Linked DNA regions of Canis lupus familiaris. The protein of the gene in region 1 interacts with the protein of each later gene in a biochemical or structural test. Links are inferred from orthologs where the notes say so. Each region holds a gene or a part of one and is shown on either strand. Other genes may lie near its edges. The genes, in order: FKBP4 and GLMN.

What was found.
Region 2: the proteins of FKBP4 (region 1) and GLMN form a complex in vitro, tested with the Homo sapiens proteins (2 studies listed by BioGRID). The link is inferred for Canis lupus familiaris from reciprocal best matches to the Homo sapiens genes FKBP4 and GLMN.

What each region holds. Positions count from the first base shown.
Region 1 is NC_049248.1:4,079,823-4,095,876, forward strand, and holds FKBP4 (peptidyl-prolyl cis-trans isomerase FKBP4), read left to right. Parts: upstream 1-5,032; 5' UTR 5,033-5,078; coding exon 5,079-5,183; intron 5,184-5,527; exon of another isoform or gene 5,528-5,653; intron 5,654-7,407; coding exon 7,408-7,552; intron 7,553-8,235; coding exon 8,236-8,378; intron 8,379-9,192; coding exon 9,193-9,313; intron 9,314-9,577; coding exon 9,578-9,734; intron 9,735-10,388; coding exon 10,389-10,479; intron 10,480-10,576; coding exon 10,577-10,660; intron 10,661-10,893; coding exon 10,894-11,079; intron 11,080-11,593; coding exon 11,594-11,833; intron 11,834-13,142; coding exon 13,143-13,250; 3' UTR 13,251-13,942; downstream 13,943-16,054. UniProt on the Homo sapiens protein: Immunophilin protein with PPIase and co-chaperone activities. Component of steroid receptors heterocomplexes through interaction with heat-shock protein 90 (HSP90).
Region 2 is NC_049227.1:57,138,606-57,154,954, forward strand, and holds part of GLMN (glomulin), read left to right. Parts: intron 1-1,241; coding exon of another isoform or gene 1,242-1,287; intron 1,288-1,953; coding exon of another isoform or gene 1,954-2,026; exon of another isoform or gene 2,027-2,191; intron 2,192-2,484; exon of another isoform or gene 2,485-2,623; intron 2,624-3,025; 5' UTR 3,026-3,052; coding exon 3,053-3,091; intron 3,092-3,512; coding exon 3,513-3,638; intron 3,639-8,548; coding exon 8,549-8,665; intron 8,666-9,998; coding exon 9,999-10,107; intron 10,108-11,179; coding exon 11,180-11,426; intron 11,427-12,896; coding exon 12,897-12,999; intron 13,000-16,349. Other genes in the region: putative RNA polymerase II subunit B1 CTD phosphatase RPAP2, read right to left, coding at 1,242-1,287, 1,954-2,026.

The DNA.
Region 1 (16,054 bases):
TAAAAATCCTCAAAGAAAACCCCTATGGGGTAGGTACTATCATGACTCCCATTTTATAGCTCAGGAAAACTTGCCCAAGGACCCACAATGTGTTCAATGACGAAACAGATTGGAGCCCAAGCCAGACCTCAAGAGCTTAACCTTTACATTCTGCAGATCTCTCTTATTTGCAAACCTCACCCAAGGGTCTACTATTTTTCAAGTGTATGAAAATGGACTGGTTGCATCTGGGTGGCCCAGCTGATTAAGTGTCTGACTCTTGATCTCAGCTCAGGTCTTTTTTTTTTTTTTTTTTTTAATTTATTTTTTATTGGTGTTCAATTTACTAACATACAGAATAACCCCCAGTGCCCGTCTCAGCTCAGGTCTTAATCTCAGGATTGTGAGTTCAAGCCCTGTGTTGGGCTCTACACTAGGCATTGAACCCTACTTAGAATAATAATAATAATAATAACCAATAATCACTAAAATAAGTAAGTAAATAAATGTATTTTTCATGAACTATTGAGTGTCTGTTTTGGCCGATAGTATGGTTTGCATTTTCTCAATCAAAAGACACAAAAAGTAGCAAGAAGTTATGTAAGTGTCCTTAATATTTTTGGTATTACTTTCCTAAAAACTCCAGTTAGCTATCATATTAGTGTTTTATTAGTTTCAAGTGCACAATATAATGATTCAACAATTCTATATGTTACTCAGTGCTCATCATAAGCGTACTCTTTTTTTTTTTTTAAAGATTTATTTAATTTATTTATTTATGATAGTCACACACACAGAGAGAGAGAGAGAGAGGCAGAGACATATGCAGAGGGAGAAGCAGGCCCCATGCACCAGGAGCCCGACGTGGGATTTGATCCCGGGTCTCCAGGATCGCGCCCTGGGCCAAAGGCAGGCACTAAACCGCTGTGCCACGCAGGGATCCCCTCATAAGCGTACTCTTAATCCCCTCTACCTAGTTCACCTATCTTCCACCCATCCCCGCCTCTAGTAACTATCAATTTGTTCTCTAGAGTTAAGTCTCTTTGTTTTGTTTCTGAAATTCTACATATGAGTGAAATCATATGGTATTTGTCTTTCTCTGACTGACTTATCTCACTTAGCATTACACTCTCTAGATCCATCCATGTTGTTAAAAATGACAAGATTTCATTTTGTTATGGCTGAGTAACATTCCATTGTATGAATATACCACATCTTGGGGCACCTGAGTGGCTCAGTGATTAAGCATCTGCCTTTGGCTCAGAGCATGATCCCAGAGTCCTGGGATCGAGTCCCACATCAGGCTCCCTGCAGGGAGGCTGCTTCTCTATGTCTCTGCCTCTTTCTCTGTGTCTCTCATGAATAAATAAATAAAATCTTTAAAAAAAAAGAATATACCACATCTTTATCCATTCATCTATCAGTGGACACTCAGGTACTTCCATAACTTGACCTGAAAATAATGCTGCAATAAACATAGGGGTGCATCTATCCTTTCAAATTAGTGTTTTCGTATTCTTTGGGTACATACCTAGTAGGGTTTTCTATTACCTTTTTTTTTTTTTAGATTTTTATTTATTTACTTATTCATGACAGACACACAGAGAGACAGAGACAGACAGCGGGAGAAGCGGGCTCCCCACAGGAAGCCCAATGAGGGACTTGATCCCCAGACCTGGGATCATCCCCTGAGCTGAAGGTAGATGCTCAATCACTGAGCCACCAAAGTGTCTCATCTGTAAAATTTTTAAAAAGATTTTATTCATTTATCTGACAGAGCGCACAAGCAGGGGGAACGGCAATCAGAGGGAAGGGGAGAAGCAGACTCCTCGCTGAGCAGGAAGCCTGATGTGGGGGTCCATCCCAGGACCCTGGGATCATGACCTGAGGCGAAGGCAATTTGCTTAACCGACTGAGCCATCCAGACACCCCTGATTTTTTGACACACATCATATTGGCAATGTTCTAATCCTTAGGCTAGGTGGTATATTCCCAAGGTTCATCATGTTCGTATGGGACATACTATGTGTATGCGTACGTTACAAACACCTACATACTCATCTCACATACTTTTGAATGATACAGATACATATTTTTTTTTTAACGTTTAAGAGCACTGGCAGTGTAAGAAGGTGAAAATAGCAACTATAAAGACAACGGGGACAACAACAACAACAAAAAAAAGACAACGGGGTCTTCATGTCTGAAGGATGCACCTAGCATTAGAGAGGTGAACTAGATGAGCACAGGAAGGCCGATTTTGGCAATAACAAAGCTTCTGACCACAGCTTGAGTCATCTCCAGAATAAGGTGGATGATTTAAAAAAAAAAAAAAAAAAAGTATGTTCTCTTCTTCTAGCAGAAAGGGAAAATTTTGGAAGGATTTTGAATGAGTGAATAATACCAGTGCAAATAATTACATTGTTAAACACCTTTAATGGGAATACTGATTTCAATGAGCTGGAAATGGGAAAAGTCAGGGGAGGGAAAGAACAAAATATCTGCATACTTTCTACATTGAGTATATGTAAGTTTTGCAATCAGAAGAATATAAAGAAACAGGAAAAAAATCTAGGAACCGTAAGGTTCTGGTCTGGGAATTCAGGAACCCAATGCCTACTGCCCCCTCCTCTCTCCCTTCCACCTCCCAGCCCCTCCTTACTCATCCACTGAACAGAGTCAGAACTTTCTCACTGGAAACCTTTCCCTCCTATCCTTCCCCTTTCCCTTCCACCCTATCATTCCCCTCTCTAATAGACCACTCTTCCCCTATCTCTGCCATTACACTTATCACATTAGAGTAATGACCATTCTGTAAACCACCCACTCAAAGGTGGGCACTGTGCTGGATACTTGCCGCATGTTCCCTCTTTCCTAACTGTTATAACTCCTCTCACTGACAAATGTTACCATCCCCAGAACCTGCCTCAGATCAAAATAGTACATGGGTGACCCAACTCTCAGTGGCAGGTGCATCTTCAGCACTATGTGTTAACAGAAACTAAAAGATATAGACTTATGCTATTTGCTGTGAGTAATAAAAAAGATGTAGAAAAGCAGTCCTCTAAAGGTGAACTTTCCTTTTTCATCCCAACTCATTCCTCCAGATAATACCCAGTGGTCTTAGCATCGAAAGAAACTAGCACAGGGGCACCTGGGTGGTTCAGTTGGTTAAATGTCTGGCTCTTGGGTTTTGGCTCAGGTGATGATCTCCAGGTGAGGTTGAGCCCAGGAATGGGGCCCGGAGTCCACTTGAGATTCTCTCCCGTTCTAAAAAAAAAAAAAAAAAAATCAGTAAATAAAATCAAAACCAAAAAAAGAAAAGAAAAAGAAAGAAAAGAAACTACCACACGTTGGTGTAGCCAAGTGCATAAACCAACACCAAGATAACTGCCAAACCAGCCAGCTAGCACCTTACCCACCACCCTTGTCTCCTGGAGTTTTGGAGAACTTTCAGTGTTACTTCCTACTCTACTGAGGGACGCATAGAAAATAAATAGATTTATCCCCCCATAAATCTAATGGGTATCCCCAATCATCTAATGAGACACTTCTTAGTTGTGGCTCAAGTCATCTGCTATAAATTGCTGGAGGAAATGGTTTTATTTCTTCTGCATTCCCTTCCCGTCAGACTCCATCAGACAGGGCTATAACGAATGATCCAATTACCTTATGGAGCTGCAATTTCATCCATAATAGGGTAAATTATGTACCTAAGCGCGACAGTTTGCATACAACAGCACAGTGCCAGGCATATAGTGAGGGCTCCAAAAAAAGATTATTATTGGAATACAAACTTATGCAGCCAAAAACTATTTGACTCCACTCACCAGGCACTATGTTAAACTGGGGCTAAGTGCTGAGCAAAATCGACACTCTCTAGATGATTCTTTTTTGTCAAAGGCAAAATCTATCTATTCAGGTAGCTAGGGGCTGCAGAGCTCTGACTTGCCGCACAGCTGCTCTGCACTCACAGGCAGTCGGTAGATACTCGAAAACCAAGTATCAGGCAGAAAATTTTCATTGCCGTGGGTCTTTGGTAAAAAGGAGTGACTGTTTTCGTGACTTGAAACAATTTCCATTTTTAAATATTAATCTAAAGGGTCCTCCTATCATAGCTGGGGAAGGTCCCTTTAATATGCGTCCCATTTAGAGTCCTTAGCTCAGCGGGTCATTTCTTGCAAATCCTGCTCCGACCATTTTAAGCTAAAGGCGGCACGTGTTCCCGGGTCTGGGGAATTCAGGGGTGTTCTCCCAGATTCCGAGCACTGGGGTCGCCGAGCCCCCTTCCCTTCTCTCCCCCCAGCCCTCTAAGCGTCTGTACGCTGAGTGCAGAGATGCGAGGCCGCGCCGCGTGCGCCCGCCGCCGGCTTATAAAAATGCGCGTCTCGTGTGCGGGGAGATCACGTCCGGCTGCGCGGGTCGGGGCACAGCACGCCGCAGGCTGCAACGACGGGGCGGATCTGGGGCGGACCTGGGGCGGACCTGGGGCGGCGGGCACCCTCGGCCTGGGGCTGGTGCAGGGGATCGAGAAGGATCTGGAAGAATCTGGTTAGACCGGGAAACGGGCGGGGGAGGGCCAGGGAAGGGCGCTCGGGTGGGGGTGGGGTGCGGGTGAGCGGGGGAAGCCCCCGCAGTCCGAGGGCCCCAGCGTGGGGAGAGGGAGGCCAGGCGGCCGCAGGGAGGAAAGAACCGGGGGAAAGGGGAAAAAAAAAAAAAAAAAAAAAAAACCCACCCGAAGCCCAAGCCGCGCACATTCACACAGGCACCCCGAGCAGCAGGGCCCGAACTGGCTCGGCGGCCGCCGTCTCCAGAAAGTTCTCCGCCCCCGCCCCCTCCGCCCCTCGCTCCCGCCCCTGCGCCTCCCAGCCCCTCCCTCCGCGGCGGGTGGCACCAATCGCTCCCCGCGGCCGCTCATTACCCACCGACTCCCGCTCCCGCGCCGAACCCGCCGCGGGCCGCGAGCGCGCCGGAGCCAGCGGTGTTGGAGCCCGAGGCCGGTGCGCAGCCGGGCGGCCGCCGCCAGCGCCCTCCCGCCCGCCTCCCCCAGCAGACGGCCCGGCTCCCGGCTCCCGGCGTAAACGGCGCACCGAGCGGCGATGACCGCCGAGGAGATGAAGGCGGCCGAGAGCGGGGCGCAGTCGGCGCCGCTTCCCCTCGAGGGGGTGGATGTCAGCCCCAAGCAGGACGAAGGCGTGCTGAAGGTACGCGGCGGCGGCGCGGGCGGCCGGCCTCCCGCCGAGCCGGGGACCCCCGGGCGCCCCTGCAGCGTCCGCGCGCGCCGTGAGCCGGGCGTGCGCCCGCGGCCCCGTGCATCGCCCTCCCGGCCCGGGCTGCGTTGTCGGGCGGCGGGGTGCGCGGGGGCCTCGGCCGTTCCGCGGCGTCCGGGCCCGACCGCAGCGCCAACTCCGGCGTGCGCGGTGCAGCGCGGAGGGAGGGGCGGGGCCGCCGGTGGCACGCGAGGTGCCGCCAGGGGGCCCGGGCCGGCCCCGACGCCGCCCGCCGCCCCCCGCACCCGGCCCCGGCCCCGCCGCCCCGCCGCCCCGCCGCCAGCTGCAGCCGGGAAGCCCCTGGACGCGTCCGCGGGCGCTGCTGCGAGATCTCGGCTGCCTCGGGCAGTTAAACATGAGCTCGGACCCGGAGCGGCCACCGGACTGATTCTCCTGGCCCAGAGGTTCTGCTGCGACCTGGCCCGGCCCGGGGCCTGGCGCCAGCAGAGCCGGTGGCGCCCTCCGTCCCCCCGGCGGCCCCCTTCCCAGAGGCTGGGACCCAGCGAGGTCACCGGCCCAGCCATGCTGGCCCCCTCCCCCCGCCCCCGCCCCGGGAGGGCCAGCGAGCGGCATGCCGGGACCTGTAGTTCCCCTCCCCCTCGTGAGCCGGGGCCGGGCTGCGGGCCGGGAGGAGGTGCTCTGCTGGGAGCCGCGGAGCCGCGGAGGGAGGGGGCCGGGCCTCGGGGGGCAGGGCATCTTGACCTGGGTCAGGGCGACTTGATGGTGCTTCAGAGCAGGTTCTGTGCAGTACAGGATGGCGAAATCCCAGGCTGGATTTCATGCCTCCTCCTCATGCAGTGTTTCTTTTCATCCTGGCTTCCCACTGCTTAGTTGCGTGAGAGAGAGCGAGAGAGACCTGGGCAAAGCTGGAGACCTCAGGGAACCCATAAACTGGTCCAGAAACGGTCCTGGTTTTGCCCAGATCTCGGAATCTTAAGCTGTTCTCCCAGTGAGCATGTGGCTTTCTCTTCTCTCTCCAGCGTCCTGATGGTTTCTACAAGTTTATTATTCCCAGAAGGGTCCTTTGCCCTTTTCTCTTCCACTCCCTCCCTTTTGTACTCTTCAAGGCTTCTGCCCATTCTGTTATGCAGGCTTTCCCTTAATAGGTAACCACATACGTTCCAGGTGATCCATGGAGTCTCCTTGTCCCCTTATATAAATGCTAAAGAAGAGCAGCAAATCTTCCTGAGAAAGGCTCTAGTTCTCAAAACACTTCACTTGCTTCCCAATCAAGTGAATGCTCCTGTCCTGAGTCTCAGTGCCCCTGTGCCCATCGGTGACCTGGTATTTTCACAGCCTCTTTTGGACTTCTGCGATCCTGTCCATTATTCTATTTCTGTCCACAAACCAGACCCTGATATGATGACCACCAGCATTTAGGAAGAATGAGGAAACCTAGCATAAATGGTTCTCTCTTTTCTACTGATAATAATTTTCAGCTTTTTACCAGTTTAATTCTCCAATCCTGATAGGGACTATTATCACCAGTCTACAAATAAAGTCTAGAAAGCTTGACTTATACAAGATCATAGAGCAAAAACTTGAACTCCGGGTTTCTGTTTTGAGTTTTCTTCTCTCTCTCTTTTTTTTTTTTTTTTTTTACAGATTTTGTTTGTTCATGAAAAATAGAGAGGTGGCAGAGACATAGGCAGAGGGAGAAACAGGCTCCCTGCAGGGAGCTTGATTCTGGACTTGATCCTGGGATCCTAGGATCATGACCTGAGCCTAAGGCAGATGCTCAACCACTGAGCCGCCCAGGCATCCCTGTCTTGAGGTTTTTGGTTTTCTTTTCTAAAAAAAAATTTTTTTTTTAAAAAAATTCATTCATGAGAGACACACAAGAGAGGGGCAGAGACACAGGCAGAGGGAGAAGCAGGCTCCATGCAGGGAGCCTGACGTGGCAGTTGATCCCGGGACTCCAGGATCCCAAGTCCTATTGCACCTCAAGAAAGATGGAGGCAGGGTGTCAGCTGGCTTCTAGCCAGACTTAATGTCACAATCACGGGAGGTTTAGTCCTTTTGCTTACAGTGTGACAGAAGGGTCCCTCTATGTTTGCATCAGAGTCTGTGTGGGCAGTTTAAGTGCCTCATTCAGCCCCCATGCCCCGGGAAAGCCAGCAAGCTTTCCCAGTACTCACCTTCTCTGCCTTCCTCCCAGGTCATCAAGCGAGAGGGCACAGGCACGGAGATGCCCATGATTGGGGACCGAGTCTTTGTCCACTACACTGGCTGGCTGTTAGATGGCACCAAGTTTGACTCCAGTCTGGACCGCAAGGACAAATTCTCCTTTGACCTGGGCAAAGGTAGGCACGGTTAGTGGGTTGGGAGCATCAGCTCTGCGGAGGGTGTAAGCTTTCACAAGCAGAAACCATACTTTCAGAAGCGTAAGGAGGAATGGTTTGTTCAGTCCATGAATTTTTCTCGTTAAACTCGTTTTTTCTTCTCCTCTGCTGGAACCGTGTTGATCTCTCTCTCTCACTCTCTATCTCTCTCTCACCTTCCCTAATCACCTTTGGACGCCTCAGTTCCTCTTCAGGGGTAGATTCCCTGGTTTCTTTCTTTTTTTTTTTTTTTTTTAAATTTTTATTTATTTATGATAGTCACAGAGAGAGAGAGAGAGAGAGAGGCAGAGACATAGGCAGAGGGAGAAGCAGGCTCCATGCACCGGGAGCCCGACGTGGGATTCGATCCCGGGTCTCCAGGATCGCGCCCTGGGCCAAAGGCAGGCGCTAAACCACTGCGCCACCCAGGGATCCCGATTCCCTGGTTTCTTAAACAACTTTGTTCCAGACTTGAGTAATATCTTAAAAGAGATCTGGGGCCTGACAGTGCTTATTGCAACCAGGTTTTCTACCTCCCTGGTCTCGTTTTTAAAGAGTGTGTAGCTTCCATGTGGGCATAGTGTCCTAAAGGTCTCTGGAGCTACTGTCTGAGCCCAGGGTCAGCTCCCTGCCAAGGAGGACCTGTTTGCTTTCTGTGCCTACAGGGGAGGTCATTAAGGCTTGGGACATTGCTGTAGGAACCATGAAGGTGGGAGAAGTGTGCCACATCACCTGCAAACCAGAATATGCCTACGGTTCGGCAGGCAGCCCTCCAAAAATCCCCCCCAATGCCACGCTTGTGTTTGAGGTGAGTGTCCAGGCACAGAGAGCAAGGCAGAGAGCCAGCCTTCTCTCAGCCCAGGGCCTGGCTGCCTTCCAGGGCTTCCTGCCGCTTGGAGACAATGTAGCCAAGGCTAAGGGCCTGGCCTTAGGGGAGGAAGAGCCCTGGAGAGGGCAGCTGGCTCTGCTGTGCACATAGCCTGCTGTTGCCAGAGCACAGCCACTAATGGAGATTTCGGGGGGAAAGAGGTGGCCACAAATTCGTCCTCAGACTTGAAGTAGGGTAAGGGTTGTGAGGCATGTTTTATTTCTGGAACAATGCCCAGAGAGGTTAGAATTCCACTGAAAGGGCTCTGGGGGTTAGAATCTATATAGTGATAGATGGCAGTATAGAACATCAGTGCTTTACAGATCAAAGGAGGGGAGAGATCTCCCCGTGGGCCACGGCGATGAGAGCCTTCCCTGAGACGGGGGACTTCACACCATTCAGTCTGACAATGGCTGAGCCCTCATTAGTGGATGCTTGGAGAATGTTCGGGAGACTTGCTGAAAGATGTTCGGTCATTTCCACTGCCTACCAGCTTGGCTTTCTCAGTGGGCTGGAACATGTCCTCCCTATGTGGAGCTGAGGTCAACCAGATCTGCTTGACCGGCCCACCTCTACCAAAGTTGAGACCAGAACTTAGCAGAAGGGCCGCTTTGTCCACTCTCGGTTTGCTGCCCTTGTGGTCGGGCCTGGTCTGGCAGTTACCAGGGACTCTTCTGGAGAGAGAAAAACTGCAGCTCACCGCTGATGAGTTAGTGCTGAAAGGAGTTGTGTCGCCTTCCGTCTCATCCCACAGGTGGAGTTGTTCGAGTTCAGGGGAGAGGACCTGACAGAAGAAGAAGATGGCGGGATCATCCGGAGAATACGGACTCGGGGCGAAGGCTATGCCAGGCCCAACGAGGGTGCTATCGTGGATGGTGAGATAGCAGTCTGGGGTTTCGGTTCAGATTCTGGTACTTAGGGCTTGGGGCTCTGGGCAAGTCCCTTCCTTTTCTGATCCTAGTATCTCATCTGAGAAACGAGGGATTAGATCATATCTTCTCAACGTCCCTCCAGCTCAGAACATGACAAGGGCACCTTGGGGGCAGGAAGTGAGGAGGTCACGGAGGGAGGCTGGTGGCATCCTTCCTCAGTCTCTTGCCTGCTCACATCCCTGGCACATTGCCTCTTCTCCCTGCCAGTTACACTGGAAGGGTACTACAAGGACCAGATGTTTGACCAGCGGGAGCTCCACTTTGAGGTTGGCGAGGGAGAGAGCCTGGACCTGCCTTGTGGGCTGGAGAAAGCCATTCAGCGCATGGAAAAAGGAGAACATTCCATTGTGTACCTCAAGCCCAGGTGAGGAGTGGGCACTTAGTAGAGCAGGTGCGTGATCCAAGGTCAGGATTGTACATGTCCACAGTGAGTTGTGTAACCAGCCCCTTGTAGCTCTTCCTCTGTGTGTGTTCACTACCCCCACAGCCTCACTAGAGGTCCCTGTGACTCTTGGCACAGCAAATGTGATTCCCTTCGTATTTAGGAGCATGCTCATAATTGTCTACATTTGAATCAAAACCTAATCTTTTCAGTCATGGCTCCTCTACATTGCCTCCTCTACCAACACAAAATCTTTGTCTCCTGTTAAGCAATACTCCATCATTAATGATGCTTATTGAAAAACACCTATTATGTGCCAGGAGCAGTACTGAAGATTCCTGGATATTTAGAGAGATTAGCCCTGCCTTCTAGTGATTCATTCAGTGAGATTTAGTAATTAGTAAGTTAGTGACTATTCCACCGTTAGTATGAGTTAGAATGATATGGGAGATGCTATGAGACCAGCTAATTGTGTGAAGAGGTCAGGGAAGATTCTGCCAAACAGGAAACATTTGAACCAAGTCTCAAGGGACGGGGAGGTGCTTCGCAGGAAACAGACAGGAAGCCTTTTCAGCTGGGAGCAGGTTGAGTGTGGCTGCAGTGACCTTTCTCTCCCCCCTGCCCCCCGCCCCCCAGCTATGCTTTTGGCAGTGTTGGGAAGGACAAGTTCCAGATCCCACCAAATGCTGAGCTGAAATACGAAATACACCTCAAGAGCTTTGAGAAGGTGAGTTTGCTCAGGGTCTTGTCTGTCTAGGAGTTGGGTCCCGGGACATGGCTTTGGGGTAGTTGACGACTCTGTGTCTCCCTTGGGGGTACGGCAGGCCAAGGAGTCTTGGGAGATGAACTCAGAGGAGAAGTTGGAACAGAGCACCATAGTGAAAGAGCGAGGCACCGTGTACTTCAAGGTGAGCCAGCGTCTGGGGCCCTGAGGACGCTCCCCGGGAGGGCTCTTCTGGGCCTAGCCTTCCCCAATGACTAGAAAACTCATTTTCTGCCAGGGAGAGGACTGGGCACACCTACAGTCGGCACCTAGTATATCTGAGCTAGCTGGTCTGGCAGGGGAAGGGGGAGGCAGGACTCCCTGGTCCCCTTATCTGCAGAGTGTCTTCCTGGTGCCTGAGCCCCCCTCCCTTTCTAGGAAGGCAAGTACAAGCAAGCTTTACTACAGTACAAGAAGATCATATCCTGGCTGGAATATGAGTCAAGTTTCTCTAATGAGGACGCACAGAAGGCACAGGCCCTCCGGCTGGCCTCCCACCTCAACCTGGCCATGTGTCATCTGAAACTGCAGGCCTTCTCAGCTGCCGTTGAGAGCTGTAACAAGGTGAGGCCCATGGAAAGGCATGGGCGCAGCATTCACGGGCTTGGTTGCGTGAGCTGCCAGCTGGTCTGAAACTTGGCCTCAGGACTGGGGCAGGAGTTAGGGTAGCAGGTGGACCAGTGGGAGCCCTGAGATGAAAGGCCCCGGGGCAAGGGCTTCGAGAAGCAAGCCCCTTGGCTTTAGTGCTCTGGAGTCAGAGGAGGGGAAAGACTGCTACGGCGTTTCCTTTGCCCTAGTCCCTAGCCCGTGCCTCTTTAGTAGTTGCTTTATTCTCGAGAGAATGGAAGTGTTGGCATGGTCTTTCATCGAAAGCCCTGTTTTCTCTCTGCGTCATGGACTAACTGGGGTTCTTTCCTAGACCTCGGTCTTTTCCCTTTAATGCCTGAAGACTACCCCTCCCCCCTTCCTGAGGTGGAGCTAGCAGGTTGTGTTCTACTGAGGGCTCCTCTGAAACCCAGTCCGGCCAGACAGGCCAAGGGGCTGAGGTCTTGCTCTTGCTTCCTCTCCGTGTCCTTAGGCCCTAGAACTGGACAGCAACAACGAGAAGGGCCTCTTCCGCCGTGGAGAGGCCCACCTGGCGGTGAATGACTTTGACTTGGCACGGGCTGACTTCCAGAAGGTCCTGCAGCTCTACCCCAGCAACAAAGCTGCCAAGGCCCAGCTGGCTGTGTGCCAGCAGCGGATCCGCAAGCAGCTTGCGAGGGAGAAGAAGCTATATGCCAACATGTTTGAGAGGCTGGCTGAGGAGGAGAGCAAGGTAAGGTTTGGGACAGGGAATGGGTGGGAGAGACAGAAGAAAAGCCCTGCCCCAGCCCTGGGCCTGCCCCAGCCACTGCGGCTCCTGGCCTGTGGTCATGTGTGCCACTCCTGGAAACCAGACATTGCCCTTGTCCTAGAGCAAGAACATGAACACTCCTCAGCAAGACCCCTGTTGGAGGGCCACCGTGCCTCTGTGATCAGGGCTGAAAACCACCCCCCCAGGCCTCAGCTTGGGAGCGATTGCCCTCTGTGTGCTTCCCAACCTCCATTCTTTTTGCCTTTTTAAAACTTAGGTTTAAAAGCCTATGTTGAAACAGGTAATAGAGTTTTACATAGTTATATTTAAACCACATGAAAGAACGTGAAGTCTCCTACCACTGAGGAGCAACTGGGTAAGACCAATGTTTAGAGGACTGCAGTATGTTATCTGGAAATAATTTACTGGAATTCCAGTAAATTATCTGACAAGTAGACCAGTTACATTTTCTTCCTTTTCCCTAATAAAAGGCAACACGTTCTACCGGTTTTGTACATTATGCTTTGTTCATATCCTGTCTACAGGATTATATCAGCATAAACTGTCTTCACATTCTTCACTGAGCCTATGGTGTTCCCTCATAGGCATACAGCCTACTGTTTTTTCCAGTCCCTGTTAACCTTCCAGTGTTCCAAACCAGTACTGGTGAATAGAAGAATAATGCAACCTGTATAGTGATTTGCAGTTTTCTAATAGCGTGCTAGAAAAGTGAACGGAAACAGGAGAGATTAATTTTAATACTTAGTTGACTCAAGGTATAAATACTGTAACATATTATTTTTTTTAATCACATTTATTTTTCAGACTCGAGTCAGGCTCCAGAAATCCATGGTATTATTTTGCACTTAAAAGATATCAGTTTGGACTAGCGGTAGAGTGATCAGGAGCCCCGTGTGGGAGTCATTACCATTTTGGACAAGTACAGTTTTACGTAGTATTGCACCAAGTGATCTTGAAAATGTATACTTCTGTGTATCTTAGGACCTACCTAGAGAGGGAGTTTGTTGTGTCAGTGTAATTCTGTTAGAAACTAGTGTGTATCTTTTTTTTAACTTGAGAGGCAAAGAGGATAGGAGTCTGTGGTACAGACCTGACACGGTGTCAGTGTGGCAGGTCACTATTGCTAGTCACTGCCATCAGCTCAGTGCAGGCAAGTGGAGCAGGGACATGGAGCACAAGTCCCCTTTCTCATCTGAGGCCTGGGCCCGATGAGAACTGGAACTCATCCCCCTACTCTTCTCCATTCCCCTACTTTCCTCCTTTCTCCCAGGCCAAGGCAGCAGTAGCTGCGGGAAACCATCATGCTGACACAGAGATGAAGGATGAGCAGAAGAATGATGTGGCAGGGAGCCAACCTCAGGTGGAGACGGAAGCATAGCCTCTGCCGAGCCCTATTCCTGCGGCTGCCTGCCTCCCCTGCTCCCTCCCCTCCTCCACCCTGTTAGTTTTGTAAAAACTGAAGAATTTTGAGTGAATTAGACCTTTATTTTTCTATCTGGTTAGATGGTGGCTTTGGGGGAAAGGGGAAAGGAGTAGGCTGGGGGATCATTTCAGGTGGTGTCACCCCCTCTTCCCTTCCCTCTCCCCCCATTACATGTGAATGAATGTCCATCCACACGCACACTCATCAGAATGTTAATTTATTTTGCTTCTTTTGTTTGCTATGTCCATTTTCCAAATGGTAGAAGGGAGTGAGTGGTAGGGATGCTACTCGAGGTCTGATGGGAAACCAGGGTGGAGAGGGAGCCTCCAGCCATTTTCGTCCTTTCCTCCTCCTGGTCCATTCCTAAACATGTGGCCTCCATGTGGGTGCTAGGGGCATGGGAAGAACCACTGCTGTGCCCGTAAACTGTTCTCTGCTGCCATCCTCCCCTCAGATGGTATGGCTAAGATGTCTTCTGGTGTCCCGACGACCACCTCCTGTCCCCCCACCAGTATTTCCCTTTGGATCAGTTTCTCTTCTCAGCCAGGTTGTGTCCCCAATCCCCTCAGCCTCTTCTCTGCACGTTGCTGAAGGTCTGGGCTTACCTCAAGTTCTGTGCTTGAGCAATAAAGTGGAAATAAAACCTGGGTGTCCAGCAACCCTTTCTGTTGGGGCTCAGAGGGTGGGCATGATGGCTACGCTTTGGGGACAAAACTGAGGGTTCACTATACAGGTTTCACCCCTAGTCGTGCTTCAGGTGTGGCCGATCAAGAAGCGTTGTGTGAGCATGGAGTGGTGCCAGCACCAGGGCCTCCCGGGTGCCATACAGACCACAGCTGGGCAATGCCTTCCACCTCCCATAGGCTCCCAACACCCCCACCCCACAGCGGGGTGAGTTCTCAGAGCTCTGCTCTTCTTTAACAGGAGGAAAGATACAATAAAGTACCGGCACCGCTTGTGTGGTTTCGGGTTAGATTTGTCTACTTCTGCCTTAAGTGATCTAGCAGAAAGCACAAGACTTTCTTGGTTTCTTTTCTTTTTTTTTTTTTTTACTTGGTTTCTTCTCAAGGTAGAAATATATTAGCAACCCTCCAGTAAGATACCTTTTACACAATTATGTATGGTAGGGAAGAACCGCACTCAAGCCAGGGAACTCTGGTACACACTCAGGTCTGCTTTCCAGCTTCTCTGTAGACCTTAATAGGAAAGAGCTTAGACTTTTTTCTGTGTTGATCTTTGCCTCCTATATCCACCCAGGGGCCCTGGGAGAAGCCAAGGGGCACAAGTCTTGTCTTCTCCCGATGGTTGTGGCAGCAGGCTAAAGCCTCTATCTGTGGCCTTCTTCCCTCCTGTAAGTTGTCCTTTCTATACGGTGGTAGAGGTAGTTTGCTTACTCACGTGCTTATACAGTTCCAGAAGCGATTTCTCTGTGCTTTTACTTTTTTTTTTTTCTCTGTGCTTTTACTGTGGAAGATTAATGTGTATGGAAATCTCCCCACATCCTACAGCATGGCTCTTTCCACGAGTCCAAACTAAAATTCAGTTTAGTCTCCCAGTGCCCACTTGTACTCTTGCGGAGTTTAACACAGTCCTGTGCACCTGGGTCTTTGGTATGCTAAGATCCATCTTGCCCCTGTAGCCAACGATAGCTGACCCTCATTATGCACCTAGGACAGAAGGCTAGGACTAAACCAGAGCCTTGTGTGAATTAACCTTAATCCTTGCAACCATCCTACAAAGGTGTTCCCCCATTTTACAGATGAAAACAAGGCTCAAGTTAAGTAGAAGGGTCTGCCTGGATTTTGAGCTCTCTGGAACAAATCCAAACTTGTTAGGAGGCTCCTGTGATCTTGGGCAAGGTGAACCTATTTCCTTAGCTCCAAAAACAGGGGCGTGGACAAGAATTAAAACTCTTTCCAGCTCTGAATGATTCCGTGGGATTCTAGGAATGTAAAACAAATGCATTTCTATAGAATCCTGGAGCTGGACAAGCCTTGGTCAATGTAATATTAAGACTACTGTGAAGATGTTTTACTTAAGTGACCAGAAGTTCTGGGTGGGTCCGTTAAGCGTTTGTGTGCAGCTCTGGCCATGATCCCAGGGTCTGGAACAGAGCCCTGCATTGGGTTCCCTGCCCAATGAGGAGTCTGCTTTTCCCTCTGTGCTCTCCTCCTTCCTCAAATATGTAAAATGTTAAAAAAAAAAAAAAAAAAAAAAAAGAAGAAGAAAAAAAGCCTTAAGGATTAAAAACAGGTGTGTCATGTACTTCCACTTTGCTTTGGACCATCAGCTTCACAGCCTCATCAATTGAACATTTCCTCACCAATACTCAAAATCTTCCCGGATGGAGATAATGTGCTCAAATAAGGAAAACCAGTAACTAGTACTGCTAGCAGTTACTGCAGATTTAGAAAATTTAAGATTGGGTTCATCTTGTCCTAGTGCCGATCCTCACATCAAGTTCCCATTTCCATTCTAGCAGCCTTTCCCCAACAGCACCATGCGCCTTGAGCCGGGTCTCCTTTTTGCAGAAGGTTCCTCCTAGCTTGCATTCCCTCTTGTAATTCACTCAACACTGCATTCAAGTCCTACTCCTCCAACTGCTTAAAACCCTGTCGATGACTTCCCATCCCATTTAGCCTGAAGGTCAGAACTTTTACTGAGGTCCACAGTTCTGTGGGTCCTGGCCCTGCCTGCCTTATGCCAGCCGTGGAGCACTTGACTCCCTCACACTAGACCAGCCACACCACCGTCAAAAG
Region 2 (16,349 bases), on another chromosome or scaffold:
CTAATCTGAACACCTATTAGTTCCATCTGATAACTTCATAGTCTTTTCCTTTATAGCACTTATCACAATATATAATTATGTATTCAGTTGTGACAATTTAATCCGTATTTCTCCGTTCCAGTAGAAAAGAACTGTGTCTATTCTGCTCAAAACCATATCCTCAGGGCTTAACACAGGCCTGGCATATCTCCTATTTGGTAAATAATTTTTGAAAGAATGAGTAAATGACAGCCACTACCTGCCTGATATAAAAGGATAAATCACTGAAACCCCTAGGCGGCTCAGGTGGTTAAGCATCTGACTCTTGGTTTCAGCTTAGATCATGATCTCAGGATTGTGAGATCAAGCCCTGAGTCAGGCTCCACACTCAGTGGGGAGTCTGCTTTAGAGTCTCTCTTTTCCCTCTTCTTCTACTCCCTCTTCACCTGCATCCCACACATGTACTTGCTCACTCTCTAAAATGAATAAACATATTTTTAAGATTTTATTTTATTTATTCATGAGAGAGACATACATACACACACACACACACACACACACACACACACACACACACCCCGGGCGGTGGGGGGGGGGGGGGGCAGAGACACAGGCAGAGGGAGAAGCAGGCTCCATGCAGGGAGCCTGATATGGGACTTGATCCTGGATTCCAGGATCATGCCCTGAACCACAGGCAGATGCTCAACTGCTGAGCCACCCAGGTATCCCAATAAATCTTTTTTTTTTATTTTTAAGAATAAAATATTGACCTATGTATTTAAATCATTCTCATAAACTACTCCTATTCTAGAAACTTTGTGACAGGAGGTAAATCTAGTCTGTTTAGGAGATGCCAAGCAACAGAATAGGACTTTTTTTGCTGAAAATATGGACATAATGTAAACGAAGAACAGTAAAGGTTTCTTGGAGTCTCTGGTATATAAAGTAATAAAAGGCAAGTGTACCTGAAGAGGTGGAAAAGGAGTACCTGCTTAACTGAAGAATGTTTATTCCCTTAGACATCTTTCTACAGATACTCATACCTTCACCAGCAATCTAAAAGTGTCTTGATTTGGTTTTCTTAAAGCCTGGAGTAGAGAGATATAATGAGTCTATATATGAGAAATTATAGTGCTTTTCTGATCCTCTCTTTGTTTCGCATAATTTTTTTTTAAGTATCTCCCATTCTTGTTTATAAAAATGGTTAAATTAACATGAGATAAATAGATAAGCTAATGCAGTTGTCCAAGTAGTTCTCCTACCTTTTAGAAGCATCTTCTTGTTTTAAAGCATTCGTCTGTTTAGCACCTACAATAATAATAAAAATATTTTATATTTATAATAATAAAATTATTGTGGAGTTCAAGTCTTCGGAAACACACTAGTTTACAGGACAGATTCCTACTGAAACTGCAGACAACCTCTCTTCTTTCTTCCCCACACGTTACTTTCCAATCCCGTTTGCAAAACAAATGAAATGGGCAAGCGGAATTCAGTTTGCTAATTATTCCCGAATTCTTCTTGGTTAAAATGTATCTCCTCGGGGATTGAATTTTCTCATGTAAAACAGCTGCATGGTCACGGGGGCTCCTGCAAATCTGAGGTGTAGGCAACTCGAAATGTTCCCCCGAATGTTCGCTCACAGGGAAAGAGCAGGGGTGGGGTGACGCCTCAGAGGACCCGGAGCTAAAGCAGGAGTGCATGTCCAAGCTGGGCTGCCCCGGTCGCTTGCCCTTTCTGGCGAGCCAGCTCTAGACTCCAGCTCCTCTACTCCCTTTCCCTCAGAGACCGGTTCTGGGGCAAATCTTGGAACACCGGTGTGAAGAGGTGAGGGTGTGGAGGTCTTTCCCAGAAGACCCGAGGCCGGGGATGGGCCGCTCTGGGCCTTCTCTGCCCCGGAGCAGTCTTCCGGGTGTGTCCCGCGCGCCTCCGTGTGGAACACTCGAGGGGCTCGGTTCTCAGGGCCCTTCTTACCTGAGGCGTTTCGGGAAGCGCGGGGCGTCCGAGCCTTGAGGCCGGGCGAGCGCGGCCCGGCGGAGTCAGCCATGGGAAACGCGTCAGAAGGTCAGCCCGGGACCCGGCGTCTCCCCCCGAGGCTCCGCCCCCCGTCGCTAGCGCGGGGCGGGGCCGGCCGGGGAGGGGCGGGGCCCGGAGAGGCCTGCGCGGCCGGAGGAGGTGGGGGAAGCCGCCGAGAGCGGCGAGAGGCCCGGCGGTAAGTGGACGCGCCCGGGCGGCGGGGGTGGCCGGGGCTCGGGGCCAGCTGCGAGCCGCGGGGGAGCCGGCGCCGCGGCCCGCAAGGCCCCACGAGGTCGTGGGCCCGAACGCCTAGGCCCGCAGGAATCGGGAGAAATGGCTTCCTTTGGATGCAGTCCGCACGCGCGCTGGGCTTTTATCCGCTCTGGAGCGCGCGGCCGCGGGGACCCGGCTGACCCAGCTCCCGCTGCGGGCCTGGGGCAGGGTCTTGCCGCTGGGCCCACGGCGCCTGCGGGAGCCGAGCCGTGTTCCCCCGGGAGCTGCCGGTTGCGTCGCGTCCGTGCGGCCTGGCGGTTACACCAGCTGGGTGACTGGGGGACCGCATCGCTTACAGAAGAACGTCCGGGTCGCACTTGGGACTGTGGGCATCGGAACTTTCACCCGCTCTGGGGTGAGTTGTGTAGGCGCCAGTGTTTGTCAAGTGGGACATTGAAGCATTTTTTAAGATTCCCTAATGACTAGAACTGATTTCAGGAACACTTTTGGGAAATTTTTTCAGAAAAGAAATACTTAGCCTTTTTAAAGCCATTTACGTAGCCGATATTTGCGCTCCTGTTTGGGCGTACCCAGGAGGATTTTTTTTTTTTTTTTCAGGTAGATCTTTCAAAACTATTCTAGAAAACCTAAAAGATGCAACAGTTTTTTACTCCTTAGGCTAAAATACTTTTAAGTCAAAATATTTCAGCTTTAAAATGTCGTATTTTCCTTATTGTATTTACTGATAATTCATCAGAATGAAACATAACTCATTAATACTGTAATATCACTGATAGTTAACTGTTTTATATTTCAGCATAAAAACTAGGAAAAATAACGAGGAATGGCTGTGGAAGAACTTCAGTCCATAATAATGAGATGTGTAAGTAATTTTTCTTCTTGTAAAGTTAAATGCAAGATTATTTCTAGTTATACTTAGGGTCACTCAAATTGCTTATCTTCTCTAATCCTTGCTTTGTTTGACCGGTGAATAAATAGCAGGAGGGCCAGAAGGCAGATTGGATTATCTCTCCAAGTGACCTACTTGTCTAACCTTTAACATTTTTTTTTTTTAACCTTTAAAATTTTTAATATTGATCTTTATTGTAGAATTTTTTTTGGCAGTGTGGATTTCAAGATCATTAAACTACTTTTTCAGGCTTATCCTAATTTTCACACATATGCTAATGTGCAACTTACTCAGAATTCAAACACATTTCCTTTTTATTTCCAGAGAGAATAAATCAAGTAGTTATTGAATTTTTTATTCACCAAACGTTTTGTCTTCATTTTGTTTTTGTCAGCAAATCCTAGAAGAACAAGACTTCAAAGAAGAAGATTTTGGCCTATTTCAATTAGCAGGCCAAAGATGCATAGATGAAGGGCACATAGAGCAGCTACTAGAGATTATTCAAAATGAAAAGAATAAGGTAAGTGCAATCTTTATGAGTATTTTTTAGTCTTTACTAGGAAGATAATAGCCACATGATGCTATTGTTTATCCACTCATTCATCAAACATTTAAGAATCAAATTTCTACAGTAGGAACATGGAAAACAAAAAAGGGCTTAGGGCTATTCATACACTTGAAGGTGCTTATAGTCTGGTGGAAGAGATAATCATGTAAACAACTAGCAAGAGGGCAGAATAAGTGAAATAATAGATATAGTTTGAGTAAAGTGCTTTAAAAGAGCAAGGATTATTTCTGCTTTAGGGATCAAAAGTGGCATTTGGATTATTATTGATTTACATTTAGTACTGTAAGTATCAGGCAACCTAGATACTCATTTTTGGTAATCCGCACTTTCTCTTTCTTAAGCCAGATATATATGGAAAACCAGATATTAAGTAAGATAATATTTAGGAGGCTGGCTGAGTCAGTTAAGTGTATCTGGTATCAGTTAAGTTCCTCTGGTAGACAGGGAACATCTGCTTTCCACTCAGCTGATGATCCTGGGTTTTAGGATGGAGCACTGCTTTAGGCTCCCTGCTCAGCAGAGAGTCTGCTTCTCCCTCTGCCTCTCCCCTGCTCATTCTCGCTCTCTCAAATAAATAAATAAAATCTTAAAGAAGTAAAAAGATAATATTTGGGTGCATAAAATCAGAATAGGAGCAGACTTAGATGGCCTTACTGGCCAATATCATGCAGCTATAATCATCTGAAAAATCCTTTTCATCAATGGGAAAAGGATCTTTTGGGAATGAGAAACAAATGTTTCCGGGGACGCAGTGTTGGCAACACTGCCAAATTTTTTGTCTTTGTACTTGCCTTTTTTTTTTTTTAAGATTTTATTTTTTATTCATTCATTCATTCATTCATTCATTCATGAGAGACACAGAGAGAGAGAGACGAGGAGAGAGGCAGAGACACTGGCAGAGGGAGAAGCAAGCTCCATGCAGGGAGCCTGATGTGGGACTCAATCCTGGGACTCCAGGGTCATGCCCCAGGCCGAAGGCAGGCACTAAACCGCTGAGCCACCCAGGCTGCCCCATACTTGCCTTTTTATACAAGAAAAGATCATCTTTCCAGGAGCACACTCTTTCTTCATTTACAGTACTATTTATTTACATAGAAGTTTTCTTGGGCAGCCAGGTGGTTCAGTGGTTTAGTGCCGCCTTCGGCCCAGGGCCTGATCCTGGAGACCTGGGATCGAGTCCCATGTCAGGCTCCCTGCATGGAGCCTGCTTCTCCCTCTACCTGTCTCTGCCTTGCTTTCTCTCTCTCTGTGCCTCTCATGAATAAATAAATAAAAATCTTTAAAAAAATAATTAGGTTATTATGTTAACTAGAATTTAAAAACTTGAAACAAAAGAAGAAAATTGGGTGATAGTGATATTTTTTAACTTTTTGAGTTTTAACTTTAATAGGTTGAGAATCATCTTTGTAATGTGTGGTTTGCTAAATTCAAAGGTTCAGACATTGATAAGACCGTATTTTTTTTTTAAGATTTTATTTATTTATTCATAATAGAGAGAGAGAGGGAGGGGCAGAGACACAGGCAGAGGGAGAAGCAGGCTCCATGCCAGGAGCCCGACATGGGACTCGATCCCGGGACCTCAGAATTGCGCCCTGGGCCAAAGGCAGGTGCTAAACCACTAAGCCACCCAGGGATCCCCTATAAGACTGTATTTCAAACTGACTGCAGCTTAGCTTTCTTGCCAGGTGATGCAATCAGGCTTGATCGATTTACTATACTCTTTTTTTGTAAATTAAAAAAAAAAGGCCATATGAATAGTTTGTCCTATAGTATAGGGCCTCTCAACATTAGTACTCTAGATATTTTGTAGTAACCACCCCACACTCTGAAATGACAATCAAAAATGTTCTCAGATGTTGCCAAATGTCCTCTGGTAGACAGGGAACAAAATTGCCCCCATTGGATATCCATTGGTATAGTGGGAAACACATGGGCTTTGGAGCCAAACAGATTTATATGCAGTTCCTGGTTCTGCCACATTTTAGTTGATTTTTAGGCATGCCAGTAATCTCTAAACGTTGGCGTTCTCATGTGTCATTTGGGGATAATCTTACTTTGTAGGTAGTTAGTATTAAACTAAACAAGGTGTAGTTTATGGATAGTTAGTATTGATTCCTTTTCCTCATAATTATTCACTATTTACATAATGACTAGATACCTTGCAGCTGAGATGATGTTTGTAAAGTATTTTATCAAAATTATTTTTTTTCATTTCAGATATGCAAAATCTTATTTAAATCTAGAATTTCCCATATAGTTAATTCTCAGAGATCACTTATAGGGTAGAAATACACCAATGGAAAGGCAAAGAAGTGCTTATTTGGAAAAGTAGAGCCTAATAGGAGCTAGTTAAGTTTTATTTATTTTTATTTTTTTTAAAGATTTATTTATTTATTTATGATAGACAGAGAGAGAGAGACAGGCAGAGACACAGGAGGAAGGAGAAACAGGCTCCATGCCGGGAGCCCGATGCAGGACTCGATCCCGGGAATCCAGGATCGCACCCTGGGCCAAAGGCAGGCGCTAAACCGCTGAGCCACCCTGGGATCCCCTAGTTAAGTTTTAAAAAGCAAGAGTAGTCTTAATAGGTAATGGTGGAATAAATATTTAGTAATTTGGAAAAAATTAATAAAAACAACAGAATATCAAAGCTTTGGAGGGAATCTAATTTGTCACCCTGTTATCTTAAAGATAACAGACATCATTCAAAATGTATTTATGGAGCACCTATTTTTTAACAGGCCCTTGTCTAGATGCTAGGAATAGATACAGCAGTAAACAAAACTGCTCATATGGATCTTAAACTCTAATGAAGACAGGTATCTACTAATAAACTATATGGTATGTTAGAAAGTGATGAATACTATAGAAAAAAATAAAGCATAACTAGGGGATGAACCATGTTAGGTGAGACTGCAGAGATTTGAAAAGGAAGGAGAGGAGTAAACCATAGGGAGAAGAGCTATCTGAAAGAAGAGCATGCCAGGCAGAAGAAATAACTAGTATGGAATGATTTATGAATATGAAACGAAAATATTTAGAACAGCTGAGTTGTCTTTCCCATTAGCTAAAAAGAATGATTGTTTTTGTTGTTGTTGTTTTTATTTTATTTATTCATATGAGATACAGAAAGAGAGAGGCAGAGACATAGGCAGAGGGAGAAGCAGGCTCCATGCAGGGAGCCCGATGTGGGACTCAGTCCTGATCTCTGGGTTCACAACCTGAGCCAAAGGCAGACACTTAACAGCTGAGCCACCCAGGCATCCCAAGAATGATTGTTTTGCTATTTGTTTAAAAAAAAATAATCGATTCAAGCATTCATTTAAAAAAAAATTTTTTTTTAAAGATGTATTTATTTGAGAGTGCACGTGCATGCAAACATGAGTCAAGGAGAGGGGTAGAGGGGTAAGCAGACCCCCTGCTGAGCCCAGACACTGGCTTGATTTCCACCCTGAGATCATCACCTGACCCAAAATCCAGACCTGAAAGCCTAACCAACTGAGCTACCCAGGCGCCCTTTATTCCATGTTTCTAACATAAATCTTTTGAATAAAAAGAAAGGTGAAATGTATATATGTTGAAATATAAATGATTTGTTTATGAATCTCTAAAGGAGAGAAACCAATTTAGACTTAAAAGCTAATAGGAAAAGAATCAAAGAAAAGTAAGTGTATTTTGCTTATAAAAAAAATAAGGACAACCAAAAAAACCAAATAATTATCTGTTGTAAATACAAGAAGGGAGCTCATGCAGATTGATAAAGACAAATGCTAAAATGTCTAATTGATAAGTGAGCAAAAATATAAACAGCATTTCCTCTTTTGTGAGCTATATGTTCATATACGCTAACATATTCTGTTACTAGTTCTCTAGGACATGTTAAGTCTTACACCTTTACACATTGCTGTTTCAGAGCCTTAAATATATTTTCCACCTGACAGACTTCCCTAACAATTTTAGCTTAGCCACTGTCTCTTCAGAGAAGCCTTTCTTGCCTTTCCTAGATGGAAGGCAGTTCTCCTGCTATATCTCAATACTCTGGTTTGATTATAAGACTGGGGTCATGGAGAGAGTATGTGCTTAATTGTCTTCCGGAATAGATGTGTTTTTTTAATGAGTCAATCTAGAAGGTAAACTCTTATCAGGATAGAGATCTTACCTTACTTAATTTATAGCACCAGAATATTTTAGGGACTTGGCATATAATAGTGTATTCTTGATTAAATACTGATAAGTTGAAGTAGAAAGCAGCCCAGAGAAATGGAGTATATTATTGCTAGTTCTGGAAATAGAGGTTTTGATTATGAATGTGAATCACAAGAATATAAACTTTTACTTGTGTGGTAAACATTCTGAAATATCTTTGAAAATAGAAATAACTTGTATGTTGAAGAGAAAGTAACTGAAGTGGTATCCCCTTTTACATAAGTTATGTAATCATAATATATTTACAGATTTTCCAAGTTACTTTAAAAGGTTCATAAGTGTTGGGTGTAATTTTTTTTGGGGGGTTGGGTGCATTTCTTTATGAATCAGGAGAGCAAAATTCTCCGTGAAAATTAAGTATTTGCTCAAATTAATTCTCTTATTAGAAATAGAGAAACTAAAGTATAAAAAAGACCAACATACCTGGTTTAAAGTAAATGTCCATTCACCTTTCTTCAGTGAGAGTATTAAAAACTATTTTAAAATGTTGAGAGTTGTTAATAGCCAACCCTGAGAAGTCAGTGGTGAGATGCTGTAGGCTTCATTTGCCTCATAGCTATTTCAGAGGAAATATTAAGCTCCTTCAAGTTAAGAAAGCTTACTGTAAGAGCCCTATAGATGGCAGTATTTTCTTTACTCTAAAAATGTTTTTATAGGTCATCATTAAGAATATGGGCTGGAATCTTGTTGGTCCTGTTGTTCGATGTCTTTTGTGGAATAAGGAAGATGAGAAAAGAAAATATTATTTTCTGATGCTTGATTTATTGGTAAAGGTAAGTTAACAAAATTAGGTTCTCTTTGTCATGATAGCCAGCAGTATTTTGTTTTAATGCTTAATGCTCATTTTGGGTGATAAAGCTTTTAGCTCATGAAAATAGAGAAGAGAATTCTTTGGAGAAAAGGCCCAATATTATTGATTGGATGGGCAAGTCCACTTCAGTTTTTCCAAATTTCTGAATATAAGAAGTATCTAACCTCAACTCAGACCCACTGATTCAGAATCTCCAAGAAGATACCTAAAACGTTCTATTTTTAATAAGTAGCTTATCAGATAGATGTGGAATTCAGGGTTTAGAGAAGCAGTTAGTTCCAAGCCCATGCTGTTCTTTTAACAACATTGGAACTAGCAAATCTCAGTCCTCTTTTCTCTGTGGTACATTCTCTAAAAGATTATTAAAAATCAAGAATGCAAATGATCACAGGGGATATAGGAATAGGAAGGAGATTTGTTGTAACCAACAACCTTAGAGACTTGATAAAAAAGTTACTAGAGTTTTAAGTAAAAAATGGTAAAGGAGCATAAAATCTAAAGAAAAGGACATAAAAAAGAGCTACTTAGAGATCAGTACAAATAAGAATACATACTTGGAAAGTGGAAACCCCATCTAGATAGTAGTTATTAACTACTTTAAAAGGAAAACAAGGCAAGTGTGGTAATTCTGGGTAGTCAGAAGGCAGTGCAAAGTTATATCTGTTCAGAAAGGACAAAAGAGACTTACTCATTTAAATACCCTGACAGTGTGAGATAGAAAAGTCCCACCTGCTGAAGTCATGAGAAACTAAGGTAGCTTTCAGAGTAGACAGTCAAAGCTCAAAAGAAACCTCAGTTTTGGTAATCAAGTTCTTCTATTCTCCTATTTTTCTAACTTTTCCTAGGAATTTCAGTATCCAAATAGAGTTCTTTTTTTTTAAGATTTTATTCATTTATTTGAGAGAGAGAGAGAGAGAGAGAGAGAGAGAGAGAGAGAGAGAATCTGAAGTAGATTCCAAACTGAGCCCAGAGCCTGACAAAGGGCTTGATCCCAAGACCCTGAGATCATGACCTGAGCCAAAACCAAGAGTCAGACGCTTAATTGACTGTGCCACTCAGGCACCCCAAGTATAATTGTCCATTAAGACACTCATGACTTTTTGCTTTTAGTTTTAGTGATTTGACAGTCAGATTCTGACTGTTTTGTTGGTGTATCTTTTTAAACAATTATGTGAGGTGTTTTACTGTTAAAAATAATTCTATTTTCTCAATATATGCTGCCTTTTAAAAATAGTAATCATGTGGCTTTAAATACAACTTGTATTAAACAGGTTCAATTGTGAATATTTTTATAGTTATGTAATCCAAAGGAATTATTGTTGGGTTTGCTTGAACTGATTGAAGAGCCCTCTGGAAAACAGATATCCCAAATTATTCTTCTTTTACTTCAGCCATTACAAACAGGTAATGAGTATTTTGATATCTAAATGTTTCTTATTTTATCTGTGTTAAGTTCTTGTTATTAGTCCAAAATGTCAGCACTATACCAAAGTAAATTTATGACTAATTATTGAGTACTCTGCTTATACTAGCAATAGCAGTACCATTTTGAATCCTGCTACCTGTAGAAAGATGACAATACCTGGCACAGATGGGTACCCAGTATATATTTTGTTAAATGTCCTGCTGTTTTTCAGGTACTGTGTTGTAATCTATAGCTTTCTGCTTAACCTTCATATCTGCAACTTATATCTAAAACTTTCTCTGTAAACATATTTAAAGGATTGCCTCTGTGATGTCTGCTTTACTCTGTTAGCATTGTGGTGGGTCCTGTATCTTGGTTAAGAACAGTATTGTGCAAACATTGCTTATCCTTAGCATTGGGAAGTTGGGGCTGAGGATAGCAAAAGAACTACGAATGAAACAAGTGTGAAAGAAAAGTCTCCCATGGCTGAGTGCAGTAACATTACTGTTAAGCAATGGAGCTTGGCAACCAAAACAGACAGTATTTATCCATGGGAAGAGATTATGTTTTCATTTTATGACTTACATGTAACTCAGAGTACGATAAAAGGACTCGGAATCTAGAAGTTAAATTCATTTTAAATGAGAATGAAGCAGCTTTGAACCACTTGACATACTCAAAGTCTCCTAGAAAGGTAATTCTAGTAATACTACTTCTCATTTTTTCAATGTTTAATATTTTGCAAAGAGCCTTCTCTTATTTAATAGTTAATAACAACCAAAAATATGGAAGTGTTTTGTCTTAACTATGTAAACAGTTAGAAACAAACAAGATTTCGTGGCATCTGTTATAAGGTGCATGATTGATTTTAAGATGCTTAGGTATTTCATGCACCACTAAGAAGGAAAGATAAAAACACTATCAGTTAAGTTATGATCTATCATCCTGATTTCAAAGTCGTTACGATGTTTTTTTTAAACGTGTTATAATTCTACCTTTACTGGACTTACTGTCCCATGTATAGCATACTTGATGAAGTTAACTCAGGTCACAACTTGGTCTCTGTTTTAGTGATTCAGAAACTTCATAACAACAAGGCATATTCAGTGGGATTAGCATTGTCCACCCTTTGGAGTCAGCTATCTCTCCTTCCTGTTCCATACTCAGAGGAACAAATACAAACAGATGACTATGGCCTTTGTCAGTGTTGCAAGGCCTTAATAGAATTCACTAAGCCTTTTGTGGAAGAAGTCATTAATGACAAAGAAAACTCACTGGAAAATGAAAATGAAAAGTTAAAGGATGAATTACTGAAGTTGTAAGTATATTTTTGCTAATAGTTCACAATGGAGTTAAGTAGTCAGTTATTTTATGTTTCTTTGCTGTATTTGTTTGCCATGGATGTATAAATCTAGCTCAGGTTTTGAATTTTAGAAGATTATGGGATACAGTGGTCATTGCTTCATTAAATGCCATATTCTACATTTTTAAAAATTAAAAACCTAAATCCATTTGTTAAATTTGTATGCTTCTATGACTTGCTTTTATTCAGTAAGTGAATAAAGTAGGGGAAGTAGATAGGTGTAGCTCAAGGAATCTGGTCTTTTTGTAGGGGAATTGTGCTTTTACTCTTCTTATGAAAGCAACAGAAGTAGCACCAGAAAGTTGAACATCCAACTTTACAACAAAAACGGTAACAGAGTAGCCAAAAGCATATCATTCCAGGGGCACTATACACTAAACAAATACTGTATGTACACTGTGACTGTCACGCATTTGACATATGGCTAGCAAGATTAAGATGTACTCTTTTTTTTTTTTTTTTTTTTTTTTTTTTTAATTTTTATTTATTTATGATAGTCACAGAGAGAGAGAGAGAGAGGCAGAGACACAGGCAGAGGGAGAAGCAGGCTCCATGCATCGGGAGCCCGACATGGGATTCGATCCCGGGTCTCCAGGATCGTGCCCTGGGCCAAAGGCAGGCGCCAAACCGCTGCGCCACCCAGGGATCCCAAGATGTACTCTTAGTATAAAATGCTCCTTGGATTTTGAAGACTTGTATTTAAAAAATACTAAAATAAAATAAAAAAAATAAAATAAACTACCTCAATAATTTTTATACTAACATTGAGATAATCATATTTTAGATATATTAAGTTTATAAGTAGTTTCTCTTGTTTCTTTTTTAATGTGACTACTAAAAGATTTTAAAATCACATGCAGAGTTTGTATTATATTTGTATTGGACTAGATTACTGAATTACATGGATGAGTAATTTTATCTTCTAAAATTTGAAGACTAAAACTACAGTTAGCTTTCTGTTTTTTTAGGTTAGAACATTAAAATTTTTTTTGCCATTTATAAACCCATTATTTCATGAGCGTGAAAATATTTAAACTAAAGAAATTGGAAAGGCTTAATTACAGAATAGTTTGGTTTTCTAAGTAAAACAAATTGAGCTTATGAAAAAAATTACATTGTCGCGATTTTCCTTGAACTAATGAAAACTACATCATGAAATAGCACTGGTCCTCAAACCTTCAGTAACTATTGGTATAGTCCAGGCATGGAAGTAAATCTTACCACATGGAGTAAACAGCTCAAGGTGTGCTCATTCTCTCCCCAATCCCAGTAGGAAAAATTTTACATTAGCAGTTTTACATGCTGTTGAGTCATTGGTGCTTATGTTATTTTATCATGTAAAATTAACTTTGATAAGTTTATAGAGCTAGGTATTTTATACTTACAAAATACTGTATTCACAGTTACCCATTTCTTACACCTTAGTTGTTTCAAAAGCTTGAAATGCCCTTTGCTGACAGCACAATTCTTTGAGCAGTCTAAAGAAGCAGGAAATGATCCTTTAAGATGTTTTGCATCTGAAATAATAGTAAGTACAGCTAATTTAATCTTCCATAAAATCTGCTATAATTTAAAATGTACTGCTATATTCTCATGTACTGCACATGGGCATGCAAATTGATACATTATTAATATGTAGAACACAGATTAAAAAGGTGGAAAATAAATAGCAATATTATTTGGGTAATGAAATTAACACCTCCAGACTTTGCTTTTGCAGTCCTAAATGAATATATACGTGTATGTAATTTTTTTCAAAGATTCTGTCCCATTATACATACTCTTTTGTAACGTACTTTCTCTTAACATATTACGAATATTTTTCCATTGTCCTTCTGTTTTTATTTAACTAGGGCCATCTAGTTCTAGGTTTTCTTTTTTTTTTTAAGATTTTACTTATTTATTAATGAGAGACACACAGAAAGAGAGAGGCAGAGACACAGGCAGAGGGAGAAGCAGGCTCCATGCAGGAAGCCCAACGCAGGACTTGATCCTGGAACTCCAGGATCAGGCCCTGGGCCGAAGGCAGGCGCTAAACCACTGACCAACCCGGGGTGCCCTAGTAGGTTTTAGGTTTTCTCCAATTTTCTAGGTTTTCTCCAATTTTTCAATATTATAAAATAATTCCAGCTTTCTTCTTTTAACTGTTAAGTCTATGATAAGTACCCTTTTAACCAAATCTTTGCATATTTTAGTTGCTTTTTTAAAATAAATTCCTAGAAGTAGAATTTCTGTGCCAAAAGATATCCTCAGTTTTAAGGTTTATGATATTTTCAAAATAACTCCAGAAATAAGTAAATTTTATTTTAAAAGTAATTTGGTGTAATGCATCAAAGAGTACTAATAAGTGTGCTGGGATTCCGTATTAGGGAACTAATTTGAAATATGGAAAACTATGTACTTGAAATTAATAGTCATGAATTTCAGATTAGAGCAATCATTGTGATTGTGGATTTTCTTTAGCCATGTTCAGCTGTATGAGTGTAGGTACAACATAGGAAGAAAGTTGGATTTAATTAGGTCAGAGTTTTGAGAACTGTGAATTCTACAAAGCAAGAGAGGGAGAAAGGCATTGAGCTTGTATGCAAGGAAGTGACTGTGAGGAACAGTAGAATTTAAGCTGAATAAGGAGGGAAGATAGGACATACAAAATGTGAGAGACAGTGAAGAAGATGATGGAATCGTTGGATTGTAGTTCCTGGTGTGAATAACAAGTTGCTGGAGCCTAGGTTATTAAAAGGAGTGAGCTGAAAAGATTAGAGGTTAAAGAACAGGATGCTTGGGCAGCCTGGGTGGCTCAGCGGTTTAGCGCTGCCTTTGGCCCAGGACGTGATCCTGGAGTCCCCAGATTGAGTCCCACGTCAGGCTCCCTGCATGGAGCCTGCTTCTCCTGCCTGTGTCTCTGCCTCTCTCTTTGTGTCTCTCATGAATAAATAAATAAAATCTTAAAACAAAACAAAAACAAAAACAAACCACAGGATGCTTGAAATAACACTGCAGAAAAGTTAAAGTTACTAATAACAATGTCTGGGGTATGATCATGGAGTGAGTTTTCTAAGGATCCAGCGGAGGCTGGGGTCATTGGACTAGATAGTGAAGTACCTGAGATTCCAGGGTATTAGAAAATTGTTGGTTATACATTTAAGTCACACAGAATTATGGTAAGAATAATGTCCAAAACCCAATTAATGGATGGCCTTGGGGTAGATGTTGTATAGTCACGTGAAGTAAGTTTCAAAGCTCAGGGTTTTAGAGAGGTTGGGGAAGCAATAAGAAGAACAGATATTTTACTTCTAGGCTTGGTATAGTGGATATGAGTGAAAAAAAATAGCAACCCTTTGAGAGGTCTGCAGAGAAAATAGTCATTTTCAGAAAAAAAATTTTCAGAGTGAATGAAGTAAGAGACCATTTCACAAAGAATGGATTTTGCTAATAATTGTGAGTGCCACAGGCCATACTTTGAAGGGTACCTGAGATCCAAGAAGTAGGAGAAGGGTTTAGATGAAGAGATGCCAGAAATTTAGGGGAACTAGATTCTGAGGATAAGAAATGATTTGGTAATTAATATAAATAGGGTTGCATGGTTATTGGAGTTAATGCTGATGGTCAAGATAGTAGGGAAGAGGCTATGAGTGATGTAGAGGGAGAGAAAAGGAGGGATTTTCCCAGCAACACATAAAAGACTGGGGCTTCTTCATTGTTGCCAATGTTAATATACAGTATAATCCCCTGGATACAGTATAAACATTACCATGTATGATATATGTACCCTATTTTGAGAAGATAGTTAGAAAGTTAGTAACCAACTGTTACAGGATTTTAAGCCTGGTTGTGATATAATTGTTTTGGATTCATCATTTCAGTGGAGGTTGAATTTAACCAAGATAAGATTGGAAATAGGGAGATCCTTAGGTGTGTTTTGGGAGTTTAGTGAGAAATAATGGGATCTTGATTATGGAAATGGTGGTAGAGATGAAGAGGAGAGGGCAAAATAAAATATTTGAAGGTAGATAAAATCAGCAAAATTTGGCCATTAATTTAATTTTAAAAATAGTTTAAAAGCTAATTCATGGATGAAGTTTTATGCTTGCTTAACTGGGCAGATGAAGGTGCCAATAATTGAGATAGAGAGTAAAGAGCAAGAAACAGTATGTTTTGTGCTTTAAAAATATTTTTTTATTAAGAAATTTAAAAATATTCAGAAAGCCGAAAGAACAATATAATGTAACCTCATGTACCCATTACCCAGTTTGAACAATTTTTGAAATTTTGCTAATCTTGTTTTGCTTATTCCTTTTTTAACTGTAGTGTTTTATAGCAAGTCCCAGACATATCATTTCATCCATAAGTCTTCAAGTATGTTTCTCTAAATAGTAAAGACTTCTAAAAAAAAAAAAAACCACAATCCATTATGACCTGTAACAAGATTATGACATCTAACAAGATTAACAGTAATTGCTTTATATCTAATTCCCAGAGCAGGTTTTTAAGGAGAAAATTTTGAAAGATGATCAAATTTTGAGGATCATCTAAAGAGGTAGATTAGTGTGAGAAAAGAAAAGGGCTTAGGATTGAACCTACAGAGTACCAACACTTAAGCCCACCAAAGAGACCAAGAAAGAAGGGTCACAGAGGTGGTACAAATATCACAGAAACTGGGATAGTAGAGTTTCAGGAAGAAAAAGTGATTGGTAGTGTTAAATGTGGCCTGTAAAGTAACAGTTGAAAAGCATACATTGGATTTAGGAAGATGCCATTGATAATCTTAGCAAGAACAGTTTAAGTGGAGTGTTAGAGACAAAAAACAGTGTTAAAAGAGCACATGACCAGTGAGAAAAAGACAACTAGTATAAGGTGATCTTCAAAAGAGGATGAGTA